Linked DNA regions of Cricetulus griseus. The protein of the gene in region 1 interacts with the protein of each later gene in a biochemical or structural test. Links are inferred from orthologs where the notes say so. Each region holds a gene or a part of one and is shown in the gene's direction. Other genes may lie near its edges. The genes, in order: Sumo1, Rnf111, Pias1, Rad51, Rnf4, Pias3 and Usp25.

The links.
Region 2: the proteins of Sumo1 (region 1) and Rnf111 form a complex in vitro, tested with the Homo sapiens proteins (3 studies listed by BioGRID). The link is inferred for Cricetulus griseus from reciprocal best matches to the Homo sapiens genes SUMO1 and RNF111.
Region 3: the proteins of Sumo1 (region 1) and Pias1 form a complex in vitro, tested with the Homo sapiens proteins (6 studies listed by BioGRID and IntAct, with this or other methods). The link is inferred for Cricetulus griseus from reciprocal best matches to the Homo sapiens genes SUMO1 and PIAS1.
Region 4: the proteins of Sumo1 (region 1) and Rad51 form a complex in vitro, tested with the Homo sapiens proteins (2 studies listed by BioGRID and IntAct). The link is inferred for Cricetulus griseus from reciprocal best matches to the Homo sapiens genes SUMO1 and RAD51.
Region 5: the proteins of Sumo1 (region 1) and Rnf4 form a complex in vitro, tested with the Homo sapiens proteins (5 studies listed by BioGRID, with this or other methods). The link is inferred for Cricetulus griseus from reciprocal best matches to the Homo sapiens genes SUMO1 and RNF4.
Region 6: the proteins of Sumo1 (region 1) and Pias3 form a complex in vitro, tested with the Homo sapiens proteins (2 studies listed by BioGRID and IntAct, with this or other methods). The link is inferred for Cricetulus griseus from reciprocal best matches to the Homo sapiens genes SUMO1 and PIAS3.
Region 7: the proteins of Sumo1 (region 1) and Usp25 form a complex in vitro, tested with the Homo sapiens proteins (2 studies listed by BioGRID). The link is inferred for Cricetulus griseus from reciprocal best matches to the Homo sapiens genes SUMO1 and USP25.

The regions. Positions count from the first base shown.
Region 1 is NC_048595.1:413,930,773-413,935,048, reverse strand, and holds the start of Sumo1 (small ubiquitin-related modifier 1), read left to right. Parts: upstream 1-1,354; 5' UTR 1,355-1,499; coding exon 1,500-1,511; intron 1,512-4,276. UniProt on the Homo sapiens protein: Ubiquitin-like protein that can be covalently attached to proteins as a monomer or a lysine-linked polymer.
Region 2 is NC_048597.1:182,047,426-182,051,728, reverse strand, and holds the start of Rnf111 (E3 ubiquitin-protein ligase Arkadia), read left to right. Parts: upstream 1-1,386; 5' UTR 1,387-1,597; intron 1,598-1,754; exon of another isoform or gene 1,755-2,010; intron 2,011-4,303. UniProt on the Homo sapiens protein: E3 ubiquitin-protein ligase. Required for mesoderm patterning during embryonic development. Acts as an enhancer of the transcriptional responses of the SMAD2/SMAD3 effectors, which are activated downstream of BMP.
Region 3 is NC_048597.1:174,372,107-174,375,804, reverse strand, and holds part of Pias1 (E3 SUMO-protein ligase PIAS1), read left to right. Parts: intron 1-2,980; coding exon 2,981-3,123; intron 3,124-3,698. UniProt on the Homo sapiens protein: Functions as an E3-type small ubiquitin-like modifier (SUMO) ligase, stabilizing the interaction between UBE2I and the substrate, and as a SUMO-tethering factor. Catalyzes sumoylation of various proteins, such as CEBPB, MRE11, MTA1, PTK2 and PML.
Region 4 is NC_048599.1:59,371,578-59,375,275, reverse strand, and holds part of Rad51 (DNA repair protein RAD51 homolog 1), read left to right. Parts: intron 1-1,452; coding exon 1,453-1,590; intron 1,591-3,698.
Region 5 is NW_023276807.1:103,330,555-103,334,252, forward strand, and holds part of Rnf4 (E3 ubiquitin-protein ligase RNF4), read left to right. Parts: intron 1-3,180; coding exon 3,181-3,307; intron 3,308-3,698. UniProt on the Homo sapiens protein: E3 ubiquitin-protein ligase which binds polysumoylated chains covalently attached to proteins and mediates 'Lys-6'-, 'Lys-11'-, 'Lys-48'- and 'Lys-63'-linked polyubiquitination of those substrates and their subsequent targeting to the proteasome for degradation.
Region 6 is NW_023276806.1:59,801,154-59,805,483, reverse strand, and holds the start of Pias3 (E3 SUMO-protein ligase PIAS3), read left to right. Parts: upstream 1-1,394; 5' UTR 1,395-1,520; coding exon 1,521-1,544; intron 1,545-3,348; coding exon 3,349-3,766; intron 3,767-3,930; coding exon 3,931-4,015; intron 4,016-4,191; coding exon 4,192-4,242; intron 4,243-4,330. UniProt on the Homo sapiens protein: Functions as an E3-type small ubiquitin-like modifier (SUMO) ligase, stabilizing the interaction between UBE2I and the substrate, and as a SUMO-tethering factor.
Region 7 is NC_048597.1:18,205,793-18,209,490, reverse strand, and holds part of Usp25 (ubiquitin carboxyl-terminal hydrolase 25), read left to right. Parts: intron 1-2,032; coding exon 2,033-2,160; intron 2,161-2,424; coding exon 2,425-2,520; intron 2,521-3,698. UniProt on the Homo sapiens protein: Deubiquitinating enzyme that hydrolyzes ubiquitin moieties conjugated to substrates and thus, functions in various biological processes including inflammation and immune response.

The DNA.
Region 1 (4,276 bases):
TCTCTAGTCGCCTCATTACTAACTATAGAAAAGATTCTTTTTTTTTTTTTAAATAAAGACTTCCTAGATTTTTTAAAAGATTTATTTATTTATCATGTATACAGTGCATGCCAGAAGAGGGCACCATATCACAATACAGATGGTTATGAGCCACCATGTGGTTGCTGGGAATTGAACTCAGAACCTCTGGAAGAACAGTCAGTGCTCTTAAACCCTGAGCCATCTCTCCAGCCCCTAAGAAAAGATTCTTTTTTTTTTAATAGATTTTATTTATTATGTATACAACATTCTGCTTCCATGTATATCTGCACACCAGAAGAGGGCACCAGATCTCATAAGGGATGGTGAGCCACCATGTGGTTGCTGGGAATTGAACTCAGGACTTCTGGAAGAGCAGTCAGTGCTCTTAACCTCTGAGCCATCTCTCCAGTCCGAAAAGATTCTTTTACTAACGTCTTATACTGTGAAAGGTTATTGATTTATTTAGAATTTTCATTTTTGCCGGGGGTTGGGGGGCGTGGTGGCACATGCCTCTAACGCAGCAGAGTCTAGAATAGTCTACAGAGTTCCAGGACAGGCTCCAAAGCTACACAGAGAAACTCTGTATCGGAAAAACACACACAACAATTATTTTTTCAATTTTACTCTTTTTACTTATATATCCGTAATCCACACTTAATGCCTGTGCAAGAAGGTCGTGGTAGTCAAAGAATTTTAGGTCTTTCTGTGACGAAAGGCAAATAGTTAATAGGTTGGAGGTAGCTCCTTCTGCCTATAACTTCAAACTTAAAAACTTTCAACATTTTAGTCATCTACAGCTCTTAAAACTGTCCTAGAGCTGGGGGCAGAGGTAGGAGACTCTATGTGAGTTCGAGGCCAGGCTGATCTACATAGTTCTAGAGCGGCCAGGGTTGCTCAAAAAACAAAAATAAAAACAAAAAATATGTGTTCTAAGGGGTCGTCTTTTCGTTGTGGTCCTAAATCAAGGTCATGAGTGTGCTGGCAGCAAACAAGAGAAGGTAATAAAAATATTATACCGGCGATTCCCTATATTTAGGGACGGTTAGTAAGGTTGGGAGCAGACAAAAGAACTTGGTTTAGCTCGGAGAAGCGCGCAAGGTGTCCGAGAGGGAGGAGTCTAGGATGTCGGTTTGACCCCAAACATTCAGCCTGGTGGCGATGCCCTGGTCTCCCTAGGGGGCTGAGGCAGCCGGCCGGGTCTCCCAGCGGCAGAACACACAGTCGTTCTCTTGCTCCGGGCAAGCAATTTTACAGGTCAGACGCCCCAAGGCCTTTCCCCAAGGCGTTTTCCCGCCTCCTTTTCCCGTCTTCCCAAAGTCTCCTTTGCGCGCAGCGGAAGTGACGCAATACGTAGCGGAAGTCCCTGCAGCCGCGGTGTTGTGCTGTGGGGAAGAGACAGATTTGTAAACCTCAGAGTGAGGTTCTGCCTGCCGGAGGCCGCTGTGGTGCGGAGACCCCCGGGCGAAGCCACCATCACCATGTCTGACCAGGTACTGGGCCAGGGCATCGGGGCTCAGAGCTGTCGGCCGCTGGCTGGGCCCGGGGACCGCGGCGCGGGGGAGGGGACGCAGCTGGGGGAGGGGGCTGCTGCTGGGGAGGGGGCCGCGAGGGACGCGGAGCGCCCGGCCGAGTCGGGCCCAGCCGCCCGGGACCGCGGGGCTCCGGGGAACACCCGCCCTCCGCCGCCTTCCCCGCGCCCCCCTCCCGCTGCCCCGCGCCGCGGCTCTCTCGACGGCTCCCAGGTTTCTCGCGGGTCCGCCGGGGGCCCAGGCCCGCTCCTCTGTCCCCGAGAGCAACCTAAGAGAAATCGACCGTTTCCCTTCAGAGGACCGATGGCAGAAACAGGGCCCCAGGCCTAGTTATGTAACGGGAGGGAATCCCTGACTGGGAGGGTAGGTAGCCCCGAAAAGCTGCTCCACTCCACTTTGGGTTCTTGGTCTCGGAGTGGGGGGCGGAGAGGAAGCCTGGCCTGAGGTTCCTGGGACCCAGAAGACGCTGCTTTCCGTTGTGTTTGCCGGGAGGGCCTGTCCGCCTCTGCTCCCTTCTGCGTCTTTTTTTTTTTTTTTTTTTTCCATCTGGGGGGTGCGGATCGGTCGGCTCTTTTTCTGTACTTTCCATTTCTTACTCGGGATTGGTCCATCAACTCTCTAGTTGTAGGAGAGTTCAGAATAACCGAGAAACAAACGAAACTAGGTTAGAGTACCACCACCAACAAGCCATTTATTTCATCTGGGCATTAGCCTGCTTATGATTGTTACATTTTCAAAAATGGCACTTTTTTTTAACATAGTCAATTTTATACACGTAAACGACGTATCTTGGTTATATGCACCTCCATATCACCCTCTTCCAGGTGATATTTTTGAGGAAAATAGAAAAACTGAATATTTACAGCTGCAGAATGTTTACAGAAAGCTGCCAATTAATAGTAAAATGCTGTGTCTCCGTATTAATGTTAAGAATTTGCATGGTATTGGCATTCAAATTAGGAATACTGCCACCTTAATTTCCTTCATCCCATTTTTGTTTACCACGTTTGTGGCTAGTTTTAATACATAGGATTTTTATCTGTTTTTCCTTTTGTTTGCTTAGAGGACTGAATTTTCAAATTTTTTTTGACGTTTGTCTATAATGATAATTATTCAGTAAACTTTTCATTCAGCACCACAGTGTAGTTGAACTGTTTTCTTTTAATTTAATCTTATTTATTTATTTATTTATTTATTTAATTGTTTTTCGATACAGGATTCTCTGTGTAGCCTTGGCTAACCTGGAACTGCTCTGTAGACCAGGCTGGCCTCAAACTCAGAGATTCCCAGCCTTTGCTTCCTGAGTGCTGGGATCAAAGGCATGCTTCCCCACCACCTGGATAATATGGTTCTATTTTTGTAGCCTATCCATAATGTAGATTAATTGTGGGGTAGATTTGTTTATAAATAATCTGGATTAATTCTGTTTAATCTGGATAGAAATTCGTTTATGAATATCTCTCCAGATAGTTCCGAGTAAGGGAGGAAAGATGAGCTGTAAATGCTTAGTTTCATCAGTCTTTTATTTTAGAAGGAACTAGAAGGCATGTCAGCCTGATGAAGGGCAACATACAGTTAGAAATTTTAAAATTATTTTTGCTCTAGTTTGAACTCACATCATTTAAGAATATGGAGAAAGGCTCTAAAGCTACACAGAGAAACCCTGTCTTGAAAAACTATTAAAAAAAAAAAAAGATTATGGAGAAAGGAAAAGAGAACCTAGGACACAGGCTGTTTTCAGGGGATCTGTGAAGCCACACTAGGGTGTAGTACTTGTTACTGGGCACTGAACTTAGGGCTCACATGTGTACATGCCAGACAAGCACTATACCACTGAGCTAGATCCGAATCTCTTATACTTAGTCTCACTATGTTGCCTAGGTTGTTCTTGAACTTCATTCTGTAGCACAAGGTGTCTTTGAACTCGGAATAAATACTCCTCCCTCACTTATCGTTGCAGAGTAGGGAGGATTAGAGTTATGCCATACCTGGCTAGTCCATGTGTGATTTGTTTATTTTTTTTTTTGTCCCGTGTTGTTCCCCCCCCCCCCCCCCAGGGTTTCTCTGTATTGCTTTGGAGGTTGTTCTGGAACTCTGCTCTGTAGACCAGGCTGGCCTCTGCCTCCCAAGTGCTGGGATTTTCTTTTGTTTTTGAGATAGGGTCTTACTATGTAACCTTGGCTGCCCTGGAACTCATTCTGTAGTTCAGGCTGGCCTGGAACTCACAGAGGTCTGCTTGCTTCTGTCCTCTGAGTGCTGGAGTGAAAGATGTGCATCACAATACCTGACAAACTTTTGTTTTGTTTTGTTTTGTTTTCAAGACAAGATTTCTTTGTAGCTTTGGAGCCTGTCCTGGAATTCACTTTGCCTGCTTCTGCCTCCCAAGTGCCACCACCACCTGGCCCAAAACAAGTCTTTTTAATTGAGCTACACAGTAAAGCAATATGCAAGAGTGTGAAATAGTGCTACTTTTAGAAATTTTGACTTGAAGAAAAAGTATGCTAACATTTTAGGGGTTATTTATTTTGTTTTCTAAGACAGAGTTTCTATGTGTAGCCCTGATTGTCCTGGAACTTGCTCTGCAGACCAGGCTGGCCTCAAACTCAGAGATCCTTTTGCCTCTGCCTTCCAAGTGCTGGGACAAAAAGTGTGTGCCACCATTGCCAGGCTGATGGGATTGTAAATAATTGAGAGTGTGTTACTAGATTTAGGAACAATTTATTGGT
Region 2 (4,303 bases), on another chromosome or scaffold:
TAGAATGTTGGACTTGATTTCAGAATCAATTCAGCTGAATATGGACAGTTCTGATTTTTACTCAGTATCATGTATGATTTGGGAATCATTTGTTGTGAAAAACACCACAGACCATCTTTGTATCCATGAACTTAGCCAAGCGAAGTAAAAATATACTTTAACATGCAATCCATAGTAAAAAGTATTGGACTTTTCACAGTTTTGAAATGTAGTTCTTAAAATTGATGTAGCCAATACAAAGTCAATAGCGCTTTATTTCAAGTGTTCAAGAGTCGTATGTGGCAAGTGTGTCTACCTTAATTAAGGAATACAAGTCAAATCTTTAAAGAGGAAAAAAAGGAGAGAGATGAAAACAGAGGTTTGAGACATCATGAGTCAACGGCCTCAATAGTCCAGGTGGCATCCTACTTTTAGAGAGAAGCCATTGGGGGACTGAGGAAATCCAGGTCCAATGCTCTTTCATTATTCCTCGCTTATAATTTAAAAACACCTTCTTCACTCAATATGGAGAACATGAGTGAATAAAATTATTGAAGAGCCTGTGTCTAAGGAGGGAATTAATGCCTACTGAACACTTAATTGGTAATATATGGAGGTTTATATAAATCGCCAAATTTGACCTTAAAGATGGTTTTAAAGCATATAAAGTTATCCTGGTTAATAAAGGAGGAAACTGAGATTTATAAAGGTGTTAATATATCAGCTTTCTGGCCAGAAGTCTGCCTGATTGACCGCAGAGGCCACGCTCTGTCCTTATGTGTTGCCTCCTAGGGCACGCAATGAAACATTGCAATCATCTTGTTTTGTGAGGTAATTAAGAAGTGTTCTCAGATTGTATAGCCAGAGCTTCCAGGCTATCTAATACCACCCTTGAACTGATTTTGGAAACAATTCACTTGAACAGCGAGATGTGATCTCTAGTTTGGGTGTCATTTGCTGGGAAAGACACCACGTTTTTGCTTTAAGAGCGCTGCAAGTGCAGCCGGTAAGATTTAGAAGAGAAAAAGTAACCAGGATGTAGGCAGAATCATGTTGAAGTATTGTTGACCCCGAAATCACCGAAGAAAATGAACCCTACGAGCTTCTTCTTAACGTAGCTCAACAGGGCCAACAAACAGTAAGAGAAAGCCAGTGCAAAAGGGGAAAGGCTAGGACGCAGGGGGGCGGGCCCGGGGGCCGAAGGGGGGCGAGCCCGGCAGGCGAAGGTCCGCGCACGCGCAGACATACGGACGTGAGAGGGCGTGAGTCCGGCGCGCTTGCTTTCCGAACTGTCGTAAAAGGGCCCCGGTGTCGCGCTCGCGCAGTCGGGGAGGGCCGAGCCAGGCTGCGGCGGCGGCGATGGTGGCGGGGCGCCGGGACTGCGCGGCGTAGAAACGCCGGCCGTTCAGGGTCGCGAGCGCGCGTGGGCCACGATCGGGCGTTCCGAGCCGGGTCGGGCCGAGCCGGGCTCAGCCGCACGCTTGGCCGCGGCGTTGACAGACGCCCTCCCGAGGAGAGCCACCCGGGCCGCCTCAGCCTCGCCTCGCCTGGCCGAGCGCTGTTTGCCGGCCCGCGCCAGCGAGCCCCGGACCTGGCCGCACGGGGGCTGCGGACTCGGGTGAGGACGCCGGAGGAAAGGGGGGTGCGGGGGAGGGGAGCGGCGCCGCGGCGCTTGCGCGCTGCGGGGGAGGGGCCGAGCTGTGGGGAGAAAGAGGAAGGGCCGCGGCTGGCGGCCGGGGTCAGCGGCAGGGGGATGTCCGCGGGTCCCGGGCGGCGCGGAGCGGCTCATTGTGTCCGGGCGAGAGTCCGCCCGCGGACACACCCACAGCCTCCTAAGCGGGAGGGGGTGAGGGGATCGCACCCTGTCGCCGCTGCCCGCCGGCAGGACGGGGGCTGAAGGCCCAGGCGTGGGGGTGACAATGGAGTAAAGAAGGTAACCCGGGCCGAAGCCGGGAGCCGCCCGGTGCGGGCGAGCACGCGCAGTCCGTGGAGCAGAAGACAGACGCGTCTGATATTGTGTGGAGCTGGCTGGTTAGTCATTAAAAAAAGATGTTTTCTTTATCCTGCCTAGATAATTGATCGGAGTCAGCAGCGGTGCGGTGAAAGCATCGGGTTTTGTACTGAGAACTAGAGGTTTGTCACCACATCTCCTAGATTATAGGGCTTTATAGATAATGTCTTAAAGCAAGAGTGACTTTTTAGCGTCTAAAAAAAAACAAAACCAACCAGGAAGTTATAGCGCCTTCTTTTAATTTGCTCATGTCTGTAGTGTGGGGTGACTCCATTGTGTTGTTGAGAGCTTTCCTATTCCTTGATTTATGTACAGAGTGAGTTTAGAACTCCTGAGTAGCGGCGAGCCAGCTGACAGACTTCATTGTAAAAGTTCTGATAGCTCTTGAACCAAACTTTGTTCCATTTGGCATTTTATCTTTAATTTTCTTCTTTTTGGTACCTCTTTAACCGAAAGGAACAGACTGGGAAAAAGATGAGCTGAGGTTCCACCTCCTTGCCCGTTTGTGTTTATCACGTGAGTTTTGAGTTTACGTAGACATTCTTTCCATAGTTCTGATTTTACTTAGCTTCATTAGGATAGGGGTCTACATTTAAAAAATCCTTCATATGGGTGTATGTCAGTGTGTGGGTCTGCATGTGAGTGCAGGTGCCCGTGGAGACCAGAAGAGGATCTAATGTTCTAGAGCTGGAGTTTTAAGGGAGGCTTTGCACTGCCCTGTGTAGGCGCTGGGACCCCCAAGTTGGGGTCTTCTGCAAGAATAAACACTCTTGACTCCAAACGGTTTCTCCAGCTCCGGAACCATATTTTGATAGTTTGTTACTATGTGATCTTTGTTTTTGCTTTTTCTTTCAGTTAAAAACATTTATGTAGAAACTGGTAACTATGGTATTTTGTTACATTGTGACACAGGTTGAGGAAGCTTCTACTCTGAAGAGAAACAAATTATTTAGCTTTAACTACTACTTTTGTAGCGGGAGTGCTGGGCGTGATGGCTCAAACTTTTAATCCCAGCTCATGAGAGTCAGGGGCCGGGGGATCTTTGTGAGTTCAAGTCTAGCCTGGTCTACATAGTGAGTTCTAGGATAGCCCTAACTATGTAGAGAGACCCTGTCTTGAACACCTACCCCGAATGTATGTATAACTCTTTTGCTACTCTCTTAGGGTTTAACCATGAACAAAATATTTTGTTGTATTCCGCTGGCATGTCACCTAAGATTCTCTGTAGTATTTGAAAAAATTAGTGAGGATATTTGTGAACTGGCCCTAATGACATTGAAGAATATTAGTAAGAATAGTCTTTTCTTGCTAGTCAGGGCTGTGTCATATGTGTGTGGTTTCTTTTGTCATCTTTTCCCATTGGTCTCTGTCTGTTGGTCACTAGAACTGGTTGGCCTTCAGCTCCTAGACTCAGGGATCTTCCTGCTTCAGCCTCCTAGGGAGCTGGGGCTGCAGGTTTTTACCATTGTACTTGGGTCTAGAGTTTGTGTTTCATGAATGCTATAATAAGAATACTTTCTTTTAATGAAGAATGTATGTTAGCTGAGGTTACGTTCAGCAAGTTTCACTTTGGTGCTCCGTGTTTGTGAGAAATTGAGAAATGCTTCTATGCTTCTACTGATGTCCCAAGAGGACGGCAGTTTACTTGCATGAAGCAAAGGAACAGTAAGTTATTCAGCAGGCACATCTGTGTATTTTTTTGAAAATATGGACTAGAAAGCTCATTGCATCAAAATGTTTAGAGCTTTAAGTGTTTATTTTATATATGTCATGTTAAGGAAGGCCTTTGGTATCATGCTTTAGTTATGGCTTATTTGTATGCCCCCCTGCTTTGACCCTAACCTGGTGGGCTGGGACTTTAATATGACTGACAGAACAAAAAAATAGTAATTAAGGCTGGGTGGTGGTGGCTCACGCCTTTAATCCCAGCACTGGGGAGGCAGAGGCAGGCTGATCTCTGTGAGTTCGAGACCAACCTGGTCTACAAGAGCTAGTTCCAGAACAACCTCCAAAGCCACAGGGTTTCTTTTGTCATCTTTTAAAAACCAAAAACCATCTTTTGTCTTAAAAAACCAAAAAAAAAAAAAAAATGTATTGTTAACCTTTCCTGGCCTATATCCTTCCCAATTAGTAAAATTAGTGTAAGATTGATATATGTTGTTTATTTCTGGCCTCTGTTTTTGGGTGTATGTGTGTGCCACATTTAATAGCTTCTATTTTTAGTTCTTTTGGTATTCACTGTTGGATTCCATAGATCTCCAGAAAGAAATACTCTGTGGGAAGTGTAAATGCTGTCATGGTGCAAATGAAACA
Region 3 (3,698 bases), on another chromosome or scaffold:
GTTAATATTGTAAATAGAATTACTCTTGGACCAGGTGTGGTGGTGTACACCTTTAATCCCAGTACTTGGGAGGGCAGAGACAGGTGGATCTCTGAGTTCCAGATCAGCCTGCTATATAGAATGAGACCCTCCCCACCTCCCACCCCCCAAAAATGTTCTTTCCCTGAGGCCTCTCCTCCTCCTTTGTGGTGTGGCTTTCCTTCTGGAATTTTTTGAAGTCTTTATCCAATTTTAGCCTGGTGATAGCCACCTTGCTAGAATGAGTGCCACATGACAGACAGTTGAGCCACTAGTCTCCCCACTAGATTTGTTCAATGTAGACAATACATTTCTTCTTGTAAACTCGAACTGCTTGCCATTCTGCTTACCTTCATGCTGTCCTCGCACAACCCAGACATCCTCGCCCTTTCTGGGGTATGTGGATAGAACACTGCATGCCCATCTCAGCTGTTGGGAAAGAGGTCAAGACTAACCTTGTTCTGAATCTGAGAGGTAATTGAAATGCCTTTCACAGTTGCTGCCTGGGTCAGAAGCTGCAAAGGTATTAGACTTCATTTTGGCCTGCTTGTAAGGTTTAGAAAACTAGCTAAAAACTGCAACCTACTCACTATAAAGTTAACTCAGGTAGAGCACTTAGAGTGGAAAGCTGAGTGCACCTGATCATTGAAGCTGGCTATAGACATGTGTACCAGGAGAGATCTGCAGTGACTTGAGCTTTCCTTCACAGTAGCCCCATTTTTGAAGACGTGTAGCCTTGGTTTCCTAGGAGCCTCCCATCATGCTGTACCTGGGAGCTGGAGATTGTAGCACATGCTCATAACACCATCACTCATAAAGCTGGGGCGGTAGGACTGCTGTTAGTTTGGGGCCAGCAGTCCCCTAAACTAGATGACATCCTATAAAAAAAAAAAAAATTGCCATACAATTTCAATGTAGTAAGTGTTTTTGAGGAACCTAGAGACCCAGAGAATATGCTTAGATGATTCATAAATCCTATGACACATGAGGAACAAAATTTAACTGCAGGGATTCTTAGAGCCAGCCCCCCCCCCACAAATATCAGGATAAAACTGTATTGTCATATTTTTGTATCATAATACTCTGGGGTTAATTGTATGGCAATTTTCTCCTCTTCAGAATAGTAATGTAAACTCTGTAGTAATTTCACTATATTTTTTTCATCAGGAAAACTTTGGAGTCTTTAGAAATCTAATATTTCTTCTTTGAATATTTACTGTATAGTTCTTCCCAAAATAGCTGGTTGTTATGTTTGGAAAATTTCGTTACTTGCATTAACTATTTCCCTGATTTTTGCCCATGATGAATTGAGCCTAGATACAGCTCTGCAAATGCCAGACCTTTCTCTTTGTCTATGTAGATAAAACCTGGATGTCTCTAGCATCTTTTAAAGAATGATTAGGTAGCACTGTGAGTATTCATAACAGCAACTAGCCGCTAGCTAGAACACTAAGCCTTGCAGATCATTCACTGTTGTACATTGTAATATGGAAGTAAACTTGAGCCGTCACAGAATTGAAGGTTAGGCAGTCATCTCATAGCCACGAGATAAGCACTTCAGCATCTTGCCAAGTGTTTCCATTCACCCAGAAGTTCCATGCAGTTTGCTAGACTGGGATGTTGTTAAAGACCAGCAGTCAACTGCTTTTTCCGTTTCAGTCTTCTGATCATAAACAAAAGACACTGCTGCGGAACATGGCATTCTCTATAGGTATAAGAGGGTTACATTTCCTTTGGATGGAACACTTCTGTGCAGCACCTGAGTGTGTCTTAATGCTTATTGTCCCACTCAGAAAAGTGTAGTGCATCTCATAATTAGGATTCTGTTCCAGGAAATCTAACTCTGGTGTCTTTTGAAGTAATCTGTACTGTTAAAATATACACCTACCTGCAAGTACTTTATGTGGAGTAGTATTAGAGGCAAAAGCTAGGGCTGGGGATTTGGTTCATTGTACAAGCATGAGTTTAGATCTCCAGATACCATGTAAGACAGATGCAGTGTCATTTTGGGATACTTTGCCTTGTCTTGCTGCTTTGATTGGCTTCAAAGGCCCTATTATTTAAATTGTACCAATAGCCAAGCTAGACATTGGGTGAACCAAAGATAACTGCCCAGGGTTCACTCTCACCAAGTTCATAAATCTGCCTTCTCCTCATTGCTCAAGTTGCTGCATTCCCCTAGTTGTCTCTATTCGTATTTTCCTTACCATGGTGTCTTGGTTAGGGTTTCTGTTGCTATGATGAAACACCATGACAAAAACAAGTTCGGAAGGAAAGGATTTGTTTGGTTTATACTTCTATATAACACTGTTCATCATTGAAGGAAGTCAGGACAGAACTCAAACAGGGAAGGAACCTGGAGGCAGGAGCTGATGCAGAGGCCATGGAGGGTGCTGCTTAGTGGTTTGCTCCTCATGATTTGCTTAGTTTGCTTTCTTATCAATACTTAATAATTAAGAAAATGCCCTACAGGCTTACTTACAGCTCAGTCTTATGGAGGCATTTTCTAAATTGAGGTTTCCTCCTCTCAGATGACTTTAGTTTGTGTCAGGTTGACATAAAACTATCCAGCACAAAGGGTATCCCTAGATTTCTCACTACCTACCCCTTCAGTACCTACTTTGAGAGAGCCACCATCTCCGTTGTTGTGGGTACCTTTCACTCATGTCCTATTATAGTGATTCAGCTATGCATTGCTCCTGCATCCTTAGAGTGGAGGATGGCGATCTAAGGACTGTGGGGACTGTGAGTAGTGATTCCATTGATTCTGTCTGTTTCTCCTTCCAATCTCTGCAAATGCTCCTGCATGCCAAGTTATTTCTTACCATTTGTTTTGCTTTTTGTTTGGTTGGTTTTGTTATTTTTTTATCTATCATAAAAAGTAGGACTCATTGTGGGATACAGTTTCATTTGTTAAACTGTTAGAGTGACTGTTACATCTTCTAAACATTTCTTTCCACAGTATTTTAAGTCTTCCTCATCAAGCATCGCCTGTGTCCCGCACCCCCAGCCTTCCTGCTGTAGATACAAGCTACATCAACACTTCCCTCATCCAGGACTACAGGCACCCTTTCCATATGACACCTATGCCTTATGACTTACAAGGTGAGTCTCTGGTCCTTTGCTGCTGTCACACAGACTGAGGAATGCCTTCGCTCTGTGTGCCTGCAGTCTGAGGATGAGGGATATAGGAAAGAAGTGGAGATGGGGAGAACAGGGCTTTGAATCCCAGGAAAAATGGCCAGTCTCTTGGTGGCACCTTTGTCAGCAGCCAGCACCCACTGCTGTCGGAATCCTGAGGCAGTCGTCTTTGAGGTCTTGTGAACTTCCCAGTATTCTACAGGCTATTAGAACACTTCCTGCATGTGGCCTTCAGTTTGGTGGAGGTGAATGCTGGTTTTTATTCTTTGACTGAGGCTTCATGTAACAGATACTTTGTGTAACTGAGTTAGTTGTATTATGAGACATGGCCTCAAACTTACTGTCATTCTCCTGCCTCTGCCTTCCATGAGCTAGGATTTTAGGCTTGCACCATATCGTGGATGTGCTGTGTGCCATGGCACACATGTGGAGATCAGAGGACAGCCTGCAGGAATTCGTTCTCTCCTTCCACTATGTAGATTTTAAGGATCAAACTCAGGTCATTAGCTTTAGTGTCAAGCACTGTTACCCACTGAGAC
Region 4 (3,698 bases), on another chromosome or scaffold:
ACACCCTGCTCCTGTGGGGCATTTTCTTAATGATTAGTGTGGAAGAACATTGGGTGGTGTCACCCCTGGGCAGATGGTCCTGGGTTGTATACAAAAGCATACTGAGGAAGCCACTAGGAACAAGCCAGTAAGCATTCCAAGGTCTGTATTTTGATGTAACATGAATTAATAAAGGACCCAGAGACAGATATTGGGGTTTAAGCTGAAGATCAGGGAAGCAAAGCAGCCAAGCTTCCAGAGGGCTGGGGTATTCCTGTTCTCAACGTGGCTGGAGAATGAATGCCTGATACTGACCTTGCTCCTGTCTTACATACTTCGCCAATTCTCGGATTAAAGTTGTGTGATCCCAGGTGCTGGGATCAAAGGCATGAACTGTTTCTCTTAAGGACTGGCTTCTATGCCTGACTTTGCTTTCTGAATCCTCAGGCAAGCTTTAATAAATCATAAATAGAGGGCTGGAGAGATGGAAATAAATACAAAATCTTTAAAAAATAAATCATTAATAATATATCTTTACAGTTCCCCTTTTTTTGTCTAATACAAAAAGAAGGCTACAACTGACATAAGAAAAACTATTTATAGAAAGTACAATATATAGGCAATAGGTTCATCAACAATGTATAGTCCATTTGCATTTGACAAGTTCAGAGAAAATATTTAGTCCACTTTGATTCCTGTCCTGTCTTCCCTCAGGACAGATTATACGTTGTAAGCTGAAATAAACACTTTATCCCAAGTTGCTTTTGGTCATGGTGTTTATCACAGCCTCTATTTATTTTAGTTTTGAGACAGGGTCTCATGCAACCTAGCATGGCCTTGAATTCTCCATGTAGCTCAGGATAACCTTGATTCCTGATCCTCCTGATTGCACTTCCCAAGTGTTAGGCATGTACCAGCATAGCTGCTTTTGTTTGTGTTGTTTTATTTTTTTAGATTAGTTTTATTATTTTATGTATATGTGTCTAGCTTTCATGAATGTGTGCATCATCTATGTGCCTAGTACCCTCAGAGGTCAGAAGTGGGCATCAGATCCTCCTGGAACTGGAGTTATAGGCAGTTGTGAGCCTGTAACACATGTGCCTGGGATAGTACATGGGAGCCAGAGGTCAACCGCAGTATTTTTTCCTCAGGAGCCATCTATCTATCTATTTATTTATTTATTTATTTATTTAAGATACACACTTTTTGGCCTGGAGTTTACTGGTTAGGCTAGGCTGCCTGACTAGTGAGTCTTAGGGACCCAAGTGTCTCAACCTCCTCAGGGTAATAGCAGACACTATCTCCCTAGCCTAAAACTTAGTTTTGATGATGAAAAAGTGTATAGCTTGTTATTTAATAATTCATATGTAGACAAGTTTTTAGAGGCTTTTTGTGTATTAGTGGTCTTCAAATACCTAAGTTGTAATATCCGTTTTAGACAAGAGGCCTAAGTTACCCATTGTTTTCTTACAGCAATGTGGCATAAGTGCCAATGATGTGAAGAAATTAGAAGAAGCTGGTTTCCATACGGTGGAGGCTGTTGCTTATGCACCAAAGAAGGAACTCATAAATATTAAGGGAATTAGTGAAGCCAAAGCAGACAAAATTCTGGTAAGTATAGCTATGTGATGGTGGGGGAGGACAGATGCATTAGTGAGAATAATTACTGCAAAACAGTATATAGTGAATGGTTGTTTGCTGTTTCAGGGTCCTTGGTGGTGGGGCAAGTAGACACCAACAACACAGGAACAAGTTGAAACAACAAAGTGAACAATAAAGCTCACTTTATATGCCTCCCACTCTGCCCCAGGGGGTGGATCCACTGAGCTGGCATCTGCTGAGGATGTAGTCACTGTCCATAGGTCTACATTTTCTCTGGTTAGACTCTGCTGCTGTTGTCCAGGCCCTCTGGCAGCTGTCAGGAAATATCTACTGCACATGCTCTTACTATCTGTCTAGGCCAGCTGTCAGACACATTGAGGCTTAGTTATCCCACCATTTGCCTCTTCCATTCTCTTGTCATCTTTCTAGAAGTGACTGTTGGCAATTTTTGTTTTTCAAGACAGGGTTTCTCTGAGTAACAGCCCTGACTGACCTCAAACTCACAGTGATCCTCTTGCCTCTGTCTCCCAAGTGCTGAGATTAAAGGCAATGCCAACACTGCCTGGCTGTTGGGAGTTTTTATCTTAAATTCAGATTTCCTGTAGGAATGCAATATTGTGGAATTTGATACAAATGCTGCCAAAAATACTGTTTAACATTCCCAGTAGAAGTGATTGGTATGCACCTTACTATTTTGAATATGATCTCTCCTCATAAAGATTTTTCCTCTTTAAAATTATTTTGTTTTATGTGTATGGGTGTTTTGCTTGCATGCTTGTCTGTGCCCCACATACATGCCTTCAGAGGCTAAAAGAGTGTGTTAGATCCCCTGGAACTGGAGTTACAGATGTTTGTGAGCAAACATGTGGGTCCTGGGAATCAAACCTTGGTCTTCTGGTAGCACAAGTGCTCTTAACCATTGAGACATTTTTCCAGACCCCAGAATATGTTTATTATGTATGTAGCCACTAAAACAATTTAGAAGAATATTGACGTCACATCATTAGGTGCAAGCCTGCAGTTCAAACTACTGTGGGGTCTATGACAGGAAGTTGGAGGCCAGTCTCTGACATAGTGAATTCATCAAGGCCAATTTGGACAACTTAATTTAGTGAGACCCTGCCTCAAAGTACAAAGAGACTGGGTATATAGCTCAGGGGAAAGTACTTGCCTGGCATGTGCTAGGCCCTGGGTTAATTATTAGTACTTCTAAAGAAAAAAAGAGAGAGAGGTAATGATATTGATAACATGTTTATATAAGAAGGCAGGTGAGAGTTGGGAATGTAGCTCAGTGACAGAGTGATAGCTTGGTGTGCTGAAAGCCTTGGGTCCAATCACAACAACAAAAAAATCACGTTAACAATATACATTCATATCTCTTCTAATGCTTTCCTTAGCCTATATTAATGCATATTATTACATTTTCATCACGCATATATTTTCATCACACATATATTTTCATCATACCCTATCATCCTCAATTGTCTCCTTCCTACTCTTGATCCCCTTCTTTCCCCTGAACAACTACTTCCGTGGCCTTGGGGGTTGACGTGATGCAGTGAGTTTCATTATACAGTGCCATGGTGAGCATTTGCTCACAGTAGCTACACCACTAAAGAAAACATTTCTTTCCCCCATTAGCCATTAACAGTATATAAATCCAGGAGTGGGGGTAGGGCCCCATTAAAATATGTGTATTTTGTATGCATGTATAGAATGTGCACTAGAATAGATGCACTAAAATATTAATGTTGTTATTCCTCCATGGTAAGAATATGAACTATGGGCTGGCGAGATGGCTCAACTGTTAAAGCTTAGGCTCACAACCCAAAATATAAGAATATGAGCTGCATATTGTTTTGATTTGACTTTTGTCTCTGGGCTGGGAATTGAACCCAGGATTTCATGTAGGCTTTAAGTACATACTCTGCTATTGAGCTGTGCTCTAGACTTCTTTCATTTTTAAATTTTATCTGTTTTATTTTATGTGTATGAGTGTTTTTCCTGCAAGTGTATATGTTGCGGAAAAAATTTTTTGTACACTGTGAAGATGTGCCACTGTTATTGGTTTAATAAAATGCTGCATGGCCAATAGCTAGACAAGATTTGCAGGCACA
Region 5 (3,698 bases), on another chromosome or scaffold:
ATAAAATATTTAAATAGAATTTTAAAGCTGTGTCTGGAGGGCTAGAGAGATGGCTCAGTGGTTAAGAGCACTCACTGGCTGCTCTTCTAGAGGCCCTGAATTCATTTTCATTTTTCAGTGCCCACATGGCAGCTGACAACTGTCTGTACCTCCAATTCCAGGGGATCTGACACCCTCATTCATAACAATGCACATAAAATAAAAATTAAAAACAAAACAAAAAGTCATGCTCCACAGGGACAAAGCTTAAAAAAAACAAAACCAAACTTGAGTCTAGGGCTGGGTGGGTGGTGGCACATGCCATTAATCCCAGCACTCAGGAGCAGCGGCTAGTGGATCTCTGAGTTCAAGGCCAGCCTGGTCTATTGAGTTCCAGGACAGCCAGGGCTAAGTAGAGAAACCCTGTCTCAAAAAACCCAAACAAACAAAAAACTGGATCTAGGGATATATGGCTCAGAGGCCAAGAGTATTTGCTGTTCTTCTAGGGGACCTGGATGCAGTTCCCAGCACTCACATGGCAACACAGAATTGCTTGTAACTCCCAATTCTAAAGATTTTGTGTCTCTTCTGGCCTTTACAGGCCTGGAAATGGTACACAGACATTCATGCATGCAGGTGAAATATTCGTGTATATAAAATGAAAAAAAAAATAAAGAATGACTATTTTCACTTTTACTCTGGGAATCAGCTTTGGTTCAGTGCAAGACAGATAAAGACTGGAGGTGCTTGGGCTCTAGAGTAAGGCATCCTGAACTTTTTCTACTTGTAATTTTTTTCTTTGGGGAAATTTTTATGACCTCAGGTAGTAATGTAGATGCACAAGCAGATCAAGTATTAATAAATCATGTTTAATTTTAAAAAATTATTACTATTTACTAAGATGAAAGTAAATTATATGTTAATGAGGTAGATACTCTTATATAAAGAATCAATCTTGGTCTGGCAAGACGGTTATCAGGTAAGGTGCTTACTGACAAGTCTTGACAACCTGAGCTTGGTCTCTAGACCCTAAATGGTAGAAGGAGAGAATTGATTGCCAAAAACTGTCGTCTAGTTTCATTTAAGCATAGTAGCACAAGTACATGCATGTACACAAATGTTTAAAGGAAAAAAGAGTGAATTAGCCATGCATGTTGGTATGCACTCGGGAGGCAGATCAATGAGTTCAAGGCCAGTCTGGTCTATAGAACCAGTTCCAGGATAGCCAGGGCTACATACACAGAGAAACCCTCTCTTAAAAAGCAAAAAAAGGTAAAATTTGACTGACCGTTTATATAGATCTTTGGTATTTTTTAGCTCTGCTTTCTGAGCACTGCATGCAATTTAAAGGCATGCCCAGCTAGTATTTTGATTTCATGATCAGCATTTCTAAGAATGCCACTTCAAATAAATGTGTAGTATTTATGGCCATTTCAGAAACATTGGAGCTTCTGTCCTAACCCCAAACCAAAATTGATTTGATTGACTTTTTTATGAAACTCATTAATTTACACAGATTTTGTTTTTTTGTTTTTGAAGTAAGGTCTTCTATGTATCCTTGACTATCATGTAACTCCAAAGATCAGCTGACTGTGCCTCTGGATTTCTAAAGGCATGTTTTAAAGTATCAAACACAGAGGTAGTAGTGCTCACCTTTAGTCCCAGTACTCAGGAGGCAGAGGCAAGAGGATCTTTGTGAGTTCCAGGCCAGCCTGATCTACAAAGCAAGTCCCAGGACAGCCAGGGCTGATACACAGAGAAAACCTATCTTGAGAAAAAGAAAAAAAGCAAAATATACTAGAGCAGTGTAATCTAAGAATGTACTGGGTGATAATTATATGCTGAAGAATAATGGTAAGAAAATGCTACAAATCTTGTTTGTAATTAAACCATTCTCTTTCTGTAAGAATAAAAAATATATGCAGTAGGTGTTGGCATTGTGTGACATGACATCATGTTCTCTGTAAGTTTGAGTTGTGTTCAGAACCAAAGCTGTAGTGAAGTCATAAGCTGCAACATGGACAGATAATATGAAAAATAATAGTTCTTGGTGCATTTGGTCTTGAATTAATATTTGGTCTTTGTAGGTTCAGAAAACATGTTGCTGTTGCAAATATTTTTTCACAGCCCATCTTCCCCCATTTAGTTATGTGACCATACATGGGATTGCAAACCATAGTTGAATATGTTTGTTTGCTTGCTTGTTTTGGTTTGGTTTTTTGGTTGGTTTCTTTTTTCTAATGACTTAAGTATTTTTATTTTATATACATTGGCGTTTTTCCTGCACGAATGTCTGTGTAAGGGTGTCCAATACTTTGGAACTAGAATTAGAGACAGTTGTGAACTGCCACATGGGTGCCAGGAATTGCTATCTTCTCAGCCCCTTGTTTGTTTTCTTGAGACAGGGTTTCTCTGTAGACCAGGCTGGCCTTGAATTCACAGAGATCTTCCTGCCTCTCAGAGTGCTGGGATGAAAGGCACATGCCACCACTGCTTGGAACTTGTTTTTATTACAATTGAATGATTGAGATAGGGTGTCACTATATAGCACTGTCTGGCTTGGAACTTACTATGTAGACCAGGGTGCTTTTGAACTCACATAGATCCTCTTGCCCAGTCTCCCAAAGTGTTGGTTGGTCTAGAGAAGGTTGCCTAAAGGTCTTTTGACCTTTCTTTACTCCTTACTGACAGAGCACCTTCTTCAAGGTTGCACATATGATTAAAATTCAGAAGTGTTTGGGAACAGTAAAAGTTTCTTACTGGGTATAAAAATAGCACTCTGAGCTGAACATGGTGACACAAACCTTTAATCCCAGCACTCTGGAGGCAGATACAGGCAGATCTCTTGAGTTCTGGAAGAGCTGGGGCTACACAGCAAGACCTTTTATCAGGCAGAAACAACAAAAAAGCACTGGATTTTCTTTTTCTTTCTGCTTCAGAGGTGCTACAAGTTTGTGGGTGTGGTGTGTTATGCATGCCGTGTGTGTGTGTGTGTGTGTGTGTGTGTGTGTGTGTGTGTGTGTGTGTGTGTGTGTGTGCGCACGCGCGCGCGTGTGTGTGTGAGAGAGAGAGAGAGAGAAAGAGGGGGGGAGATATGAGGGGGTATTAACACCATTCCCCTGTTGACTTCTTAACTCTTCCTGAAACCCTGTCAAATCTGGAGCTCATGCAACTGCTTCTTTTCCCCCTTGATGACCTTAGAGAAATCCTCAAAGAAAACGTCGTGGTGGAACAGTAAGTTCTAGACAAACCCAGAAGCGTTCTCGGGAAACAACTTCAACCCCTGAGATTTCCTTGGAAGCAGAACCCATAGAACTCGTGGAAAGTGGTAAGAGCCAGAATCCTGAACTGTAATGTGTGACAGTGGAGACAGTGTAGTATAGCATGTGAATTAGACCCAGTTTGTGTCTATTAATGCCCATGTGGGGCCTCATGGAAAGTCGCCACCCCCCCCATTTCATATGTATTCCTGAATATATGTCTGTGCACTACATGTGTGTCTAGTGCACACAGAGGTCAGAAGTCATTATATTCCCTGGAACTGGAGTTAAAGATGGTTGTGAGCTGCCCTGTGCATACTGGGAACTGAACTTCAGTCTTTTACAAGAGTAGTAATATTGATAACCTCTAAACTATCTCTCTAGCCCCAGGTCACACCTTCTGAGCCTCTGTTTCTTCGTCTGTGGTGGGGAATAATGTTAGTATATAGAGCAAGTTGA
Region 6 (4,330 bases), on another chromosome or scaffold:
CCCCCCTTGTCAAATACTTACTGAACAAATGACAATATTCCTTAGGCCCCAAACAACTATAAAATGTGGAGTTTTGTTTGTTTTACAATAACTAGTATATAAGGCACACTGCCCTAGAGTCGCTATCTTCATAAACATAGAAATGAATTACTCTAGTCTGCGAGTGCGTGGCCTACTGGGGAAGGGCAAAGCTTTGGAGGAGGGAGTAGGCATTTCAATGAGGGACAAAAATGTTTCCTTTGTTCGTGTTCCTCCCCTGTGTTCATTTTGAAGGACACCAAAACTGTGAGATACCTAGTTACTGTAAGCACATTTGAAGGTCGGGTGATAGAGGGCCATCTGTAGGGTTTGCATTGTTTATTTTTCCATTTGTAGCCTTAGGCTTTCCCCTAGGCAGATGGAGATTTCATCCTAGAACCTTTTTAAGCAACCAGGTTCCCGGTGCACACAGTCCTGCCTCCCTGCCCAACCCAGTCCTTACACTCCCGCAAGGGATCACAGGGTCACCGAGACTTTTGGAAAGCTTCTCTCCTAAGCGCTCCCAAGAGTTAACATCTCGCGCCGGGCTCCTGGGCTCCGCCCCTCTCCCCTCTCCGAGGTCCTGGCGGGTTTATCCCGGAGGGGGCGGCCGCAGCAGCAACGCTCGGCCGGGAGGAGCTCTGGTCCGGGCGGAGCTGCGGCTGCGGCGTCCCCCTGCCTGCCTGCCTGCCTGCCTGCCGGACGGGACCGGACCGCTCTCTCGCTGCACAGCCTGCGGGAGCAGCGCGGGCCCTTTCCGCGCCGGGGCGCACTCCCGCAACTCTGCAGGTAAGTCTGGCCTCCCGCACCCAACTTTGTGGCTGCTCGAGCCTGGCGTCGTGTGGCGCCAGCAGGAGCTACGCTCGGAGTGGCTGTGTGTCCGGGGGAGGAGGCGAAGGACCGGCCACAGCCATCTCACCCAACTCCCCCCTAAACCGGGCAGGAGCGCCGCACTCCCAGAGTTGGCAGAACTCTGGGGGTTTCGCGGGCTAAACTTTTAGCAGCTCGGGGTGGGGGGGTGGTGGAGGGGACGACGACGACGGGACACGGGCTCCAACTTCGCCGCCCCTCCCCCACGCGGTGGAGCCCCGGCAGGGCAGTTCCGGATGCTTTTCCCTCCGTCTTTCAAGTCTCCTCGGCTCCCCCCCCCCCGCAAAAAAAAAAAGCCCGTCCCTTCGGGCCCGCCCCCTCCTCGTTACCCGCAGGGCCTCGCGGTCCCTGGGCCGCGCTCTCCCCGCGGGGCCACCGCGCCGCCCGCCCGCCCGCCGGCCGCTCGCCGGCCGGCCGCGCCGCCGGAGACTTGCCTCGGGCGGCGGGGCTGCGGAAGAAGGGGCGAGGCCGGCGGCCGTCCGAAGCCCGGCGGGCGGGGCCGGGAAGGGGAGGTGTAGGGGGCCGGACGGGGCGGAGCAGGCGGCCTTTGCGGCCGGCGCTGGGGCGGAGAGTTTGCGCCGGTCCCTGGGCCTGAGCTCCGGCTCGGGCTGGGGCGCCTGCGATGTCTCAAGATGGCGGAGCTGGGCGAGTTAAAGGTACCTGCCCCCTCCCCCAGCCCCGTCAGGACTCGCCCGGCCGCGCGCCGAGGCGGGGAGGCGACCCGGCTGGGCGCCGCGGGCCGCGGTGGGCGCGGGCGACGTGTCAGGGACGACGGGCTGCAGGGATGCGCGGGCAGCGGCCGCGGGAAGAAGGGGCTGCGGCGGCAACCCCGGGGCGGGGCCCCGCAGGGCAGATGTAGGGGTGGGGTGGGGCGGAGGGGGAAAATTGTCGCTGCCGCCGGGGGGGGGGGGGAGACACCCGCGGCATAGGGGGCGGGGACGTGGGCCGTAGCCGCTTTTAGTAGGAGGTTTTGCAGGGTAGCGTCAGGCGAGAGACAGCCGCTCCAGAGGCGTAGGGGCGAGTCCCATCGGGGCAAGAGATGCGGCAGTAAAGGGGAGACGTAGGGATGGGAGCCGAAGGCCACCCAAATGTTGGCAGGCTCCCGGGGACGTGCGGCTGAGGATGGAGGCTCCCGGGCTGCTGCTGTTGGCATCTGAGCCTTGGGAAGTACCAGTTGGCAGCTGAGACGTAGGGGGCGGGGCTGTATGGGAGTGTACCTGAAGGGATGGGGCAGGAGCATCCTGATGGCTGAGGGGAGGGAACTGTCTTAACGAGGCTCTCTGTCTTGGGAGAGGTGGAGGAGTGTGAGCCATGGGATAGAAAATAAGTTACAAAGCCAGCGGAGAAATTAAAAAAAAATACAAATAGGAGGAGGTGAGAATGGAAAGGTAGAAGGACAAGGTTTTCATCACATCCCTGAAAAGGAGCCCAAGAGGAAAAGAACTTGGAGAGCTAATGACCTGCCCACGACTAGGTCTTGTAGGCATTTACAGAAGGGAGCCCTACAAGGAGGACATCCCTCGGAACCTTGGACCTTCCTTCCCCCATCTTCTGGCTTTGCTCCGTCCTTGTCCTAGACAGGCTTGAGTTCTAGCCACCTTTTAAGAGCTTACTTTTGAGCCGGGCAGTGGTGGCACATGCACTAGGGAGGCAGAGGCAGGAGGATCTCTGTGACTTCGAGACCAGCCAGGGGTACACAGAGAAACTGTCTCAAAAACAAACAAAAGAAGAGCTTACTTCTGTGCGGTGGTCCATGGACATCAGTATCATTTTTCTGGGATCTCTGTTGAGAACTTTGCCCCTGGTTTCCACCCCTGTGGGTGTGTATACCATGTATGAGGGAGTAAATCAGGTCAATTACCTAGACATGTGGATTAACCCTTCTCCCCTACAAGTTTTGATAGCTTCCTTCTAGTAAAACAGGACTAAAAGAGTGTGGGTATGTATATAATATAAAAAGTGTGTGTGTGGTGGTGAGATGATGATGATGATGAAATGTTGAACTTTGACCTAAAACTCCTGACCATAGAAGCTTCAATTCAGAGATATGGGGAGAATAAATGGATTGAGGTGATTGGGAGGGGCGGGCTGTGGTATACAATCCTCTAGCCACCTGGCCTTTTTCTTCCTCATGGGGCTGCCTGCCCCGAATCCTTCTCTTCCTCCTCCTGTCCTATCCTTTTCCCAGGAGGCTAGGAACACCCTAAGAGTCTGAGCCCTGGAGAGACTATAATCAGCTTAAGGGAATGTCTGGATCAGGGGTGGGGATGGGGCTAAGTGGTCCCTGTGGTTTCAGCTAGTCAGGTCAGCTACTTGGAGGTAGTGCACTAGTTTTAGAAGTACCTTCCAACACCGAGGGTGGAGGGGAGAGGCACTGTCCCCCCAGGAGTTCTGCTTCTGTCATCAGCAGGACAGGCTTTTGTGACGTGGCATGGGATTATTTCTGTGCTCTTCTCCTAGCACATGGTGATGAGTTTCCGAGTGTCTGAGCTCCAGGTGCTCCTTGGCTTCGCTGGCCGGAACAAGAGTGGACGGAAACACGAGCTCCTGGCCAAGGCCCTGCATCTCCTCAAGTCCAGCTGTGCCCCCAGTGTCCAGATGAAGATCAAAGAACTTTACCGCAGGCGCTTTCCCAGGAAGGCCCTGGGGCCCTCTGACCTTTCCCTGCTCTCCTTACCCCCTGGCACCTCCCCTGTAGGCTCCCCTGGCCCTCCAGCTCCCATCCCTCCCTCCCTTCTAACCCCTGGGGCCCTGCTGGGCCCTAAGCGCGAGGTGGACATGCACCCACCTCTGCCCCAGCCAGTGCACCCTGATGTCACCATGAAACCGCTGCCCTTCTACGAAGTCTATGGGGAGCTCATCCGGCCCACCACCCTCGGTATGGCTGGGCTATGGTCCCTCAGAGTTCCTTTCTGGACTCTGGTTCAGGCTCGGGTTTTTTTTTCTTCTTAGATTTTAGTGTTGTAGAACCAGCAATCTGGGATGGGAGCAAGTAGCTTCCCAGGCATGGGCTTGGGAATGACTGTGTGTTTGTGTCCTCAGCATCCACCTCCAGCCAGAGGTTTGAGGAAGCGCACTTTACCTTTGCCCTCACTCCCCAGCAGGTGCAGCAGATTCTCACATCCAGGTACATCTCTCATCCCTGCCTTGTCTGTGGGGACTTTCCCCCCTGCCTTTGCCTCTGCCTTTCTTCTCTGTTCTACATCGTCTCTTGTTCTTCTGCCTGTCTTCTGTCTGCACCCTGGACATCTTTCTCTCTGCCTAGCCCCACCCTCTGAATTGACATTTCTCTTTCTATTGCAGAGAGGTTCTGCCAGGAGCCAAGTGTGATTATACCATACAAGTGCAGCTAAGGTGAGTTGCTTCTTAACAAGGATGGGTGCTACGTAGGGGTATGGCATACTCATCTGCTTGTTCTGCCCAGTCCACTCTGGATGCTGGG
Region 7 (3,698 bases), on another chromosome or scaffold:
TGGGTGTATGCTTTTAATACCAGCACCAGAAAGGCTGAGGCAGGAAGATCATGAGTTCAAGGCTAGCCTGGGGTCTATATAGGATTTCAAGACAGCCTGGCCTATGAGACCCTTTCCAACCCCAATGGAGATTATATGATAATGTCCATTGGTATTAATAAGAATTTGGGTCTTGTTTGTTTAGAAATAAAATATTGTGCTACATAAATTTCTATTTATATGTTACTATGCTTGAAACATTAATAGTTCAGGGCTAGGTATGTAATTAATGATTCCTTAAAGTGAATTTAGGAAATGCCTGGTTTTTATCTTGAGCTCATGAACTGTAGACAAAGATAATGAAGTTTTTTCACTTTATAGTAGGAAAAAACCTGTGTTGCTATTGGAGAAAATGCGTTCCCAATACAGACATGCTACATAATATTCTCTGAGCATCCTCTCATGTACTACAGAAATGTGTAGAAGACTGCTTTCCACAGTTTTGGTCACTTCACTTCTCCCAGCCACTGTGGGTTCTCATCAGTTAAAATGTGTAGTAAGTTAGTTGGAAAGATATTTAAAGGACTGAGGTAAATTTTGAAGTAACAATTCTAAAAGTATGCTGGCCTGTTTGAATATCACAAATGAAGTTTGGAATATTATCCTATGGAATCAGGAATTTGTCTATAAGAGATCAGAGACAATGTTTTAATTTTTATCTAACCTTAGAAATGAGAAAGAACTAAATGGAATGGGCTGGACAGATGGCTCAAAAGTTACGAGCTTGTGCCACTTATCCAGAGGTCCTGAGTTCAGTTCCAAGCTCGGAGCACACTACCTCCCATAACTCAATCTCCAGGGACTTTTCTCTTTTAAACCTAGCATAGCATACTTATTATACTAGGTCTTTGGTGATTCTTATAAAACATGTTCCTTATATCTGACCTGGGCAAAACCTTACTCATATTCAGTTCAGGTAAGTGTAGCAGAGCCAGTGATCAGTAGTGCTTGGGGAGGGAGAAATAGCAACAAATAAGTATATGACTTCTAGTAGCTTTACTTGGAGAAAAGTAGCAGCTCTAGATTCAAGTTCACTTCTTTTTGCTAAGCCTGAGATGTTTATTCCTGTGTTTGGGTTCAGGTCTAAGCTCATCCACACTTACTGAGGGGGTGTGGTGGCATTCTCCTGACACTGGGAGCATTGACACACTGTGAAGTAGGTGCTGCATTTCCTTCAACAGAATCTTGTTGTAGGGCTTATAAAAATAAACACTTAAAAAGCATTTGTTCTATTTTTTTTTACATCTCTATATTGGTTTGTGAATATAAACATTCATCTTTTTAAACAAATGGTAGGCTTTTGTAAATCTTGAAGTTTTCACGAAAAGAAGTTTTTTGAAGTTTTGTTGACTCATGTGCGCATGTGTGGATGACAACTGGGTCATAACAGCAAGAAATTTAACACTGTAAACACTAGTTTGTATTTGAATACTCTGAATATGTTTCTTATAAGCATAATTTTATTCACTGATGACAAATCTATTTCCTGAATTAGTATAATGTGTAGTTGTAAAATTCAAGGTAAAAATAAGAAGACAAAAGAATAATATAGGAAGATAATGTTTTCCCGAGAACAGTGAGTATTTGTACCAGACAAGTATTTTCTTCCCTTTCAGTCAAGTCATGGGATTTGACAAGCTGGTTGAGTTCAGTATCACTCAACATAAGACTGAAGAAGGCAGAGCTCTTGAGTCTTAATGGCAACAGGTGTCTCCTTTTCTTCTGGCTGGAATTTCTAATGTGAACAATTGTGGAAGAAGAGCCTTGTGGAGATAAGGCTTCCCTCTGTCCTCTTATTGTCAGACCCACTGTTGGGATTTGCAAATGCTGTGGAATTTTTCAAAAGGAAGTTTAGCTGTTAGGAAACCATTGTATTCCCTCCTCAGTGGTGTCAGATGGTGACATCAGCACCATCATTGCACCCTATCCATAAAAGTGCCATGGGGCAAAACAGAGAGGGAGATTCTGAGTGTCTGTTGTTGTTGTCTTTCAGCATTGGTTTACTGAGCTGCCACCTGTATTAACATTTGAACTGTCAAGATTTGAATTTAACCAGGCATTGGGAAGACCAGAAAAAATTCACAACAAATTAGAATTCCCCCAAGTTTTGTATCTGGACAGGTATGGTTTATTTAGAATGGTATAATTTTGCAACAGTTCAGTGAGTCTCAGCTTAACTGATATACGTTATCTCACTAATTGTCAAGGGAATGTTAATTTTCTTTTATATAACTGTATTTTGGAATGTTAAAATAGTTCTTGTTTTACATGTGATACCTTATAAAATTTCAGTTGATCTTTTGTTGTGATAATTAGGCTGCACACCATATCTATTTCCAAGATACTTGGGAATACTAATGATTGCTCGTTTTTTCCTTGATATAGGTATATGCACAGAAACAGAGAAATAACAAGAATTAAACGTGAAGAGATCAAAAGACTTAAAGATTACCTCACAGTATTACAACAAAGATTAGAAAGGTATTTTAACTGCTATGACATTGTGATGGGAAAGCATGTGTTTTGTGACTAGATTTTTAATGTTAAATATGCTTTGGGGAGCTTATAATAGTAGTCATAGATAATCATTCTGGATTTAAATTTTGATCAATAATTTCAGAAACTAGGTTGCACCTTTAATAGGCTTTAGATGATTATTTTAGAAATTGAAATTAAATATGTGATTATCAACAGCTTGTTACCCTGATGCTGTACATGGAGCTAAAGGACTCCAACACAGAGCATGAGATTTACTTTGTGCTGAAGGGAATGGCAAATAAGATAACACTAGTGTCCCTGGCCTCCCAAGATTCATGCAGCAGTGTCACTCGGGAATAAGATGGGCAGGGAGGGAAGATTATAGGAGTGTGACTGGAGCCAGTGCTATCAAGTACCCAAGGGAGGGCTGTATGTGCAGATGTTTTTACATCCACAGTACTGCTTGATTCCTTAGGAAACAGCATAAAATGTAGAATGTGGGTGTCATGCAGCCAGGTAAGTCTACAGGCTGAAATGCGGTTTGAGTAATTCAGGTTGCTTACCTCCAACTTTACCCTCTGCTTTGATTTTAGTCTTCATATTCATAACATAAAATGTTGAGTTTGGCTGGGCGTTGGTGGTGCACACCTTTAATCCCAGCACTCGGGAGGCAGAGGCAGGCAGATCTCTGTGAGTTCGAGGCCAGCCTGGTCTCCAGAGTGAGTGCCAGAATAGGCTCCAAAGCTACACAGAGAAACCCTGTCTCGAAAAAACAAAAACAAAACAAAACAAAACAAAACAAAAGTTGAGTTCAAATTATCATATTTCCAGTGACTTTTATTCATAAAAGATTCCCATACATGTATGAAAAGTGCTCACAAGGTAAATGATGTTAAAGTCACTACCTTGAAGGCAAGGCTAGAGTAGAGAAGGGAGCGTTTGCAGACGATTCATCACTGTGTCTTCCTGCTGATCCACAGTTTAGAAGAGCATCTTCTCACTGATCTGCAGTTTAGAACAGCACCTTAGGTATATCCGTACTCACGGCTTTCCATCTTGATCAGCTTTGCTGTCCTTCCCTTCAAGATCATTTAGTGCATTTCCTTAATGTGTATTCTGTTTCATCTTCTCCCTTAGAAAGTAAGCGAGTTTCATTTCTGCCTTATTTTATAAGACTTAGA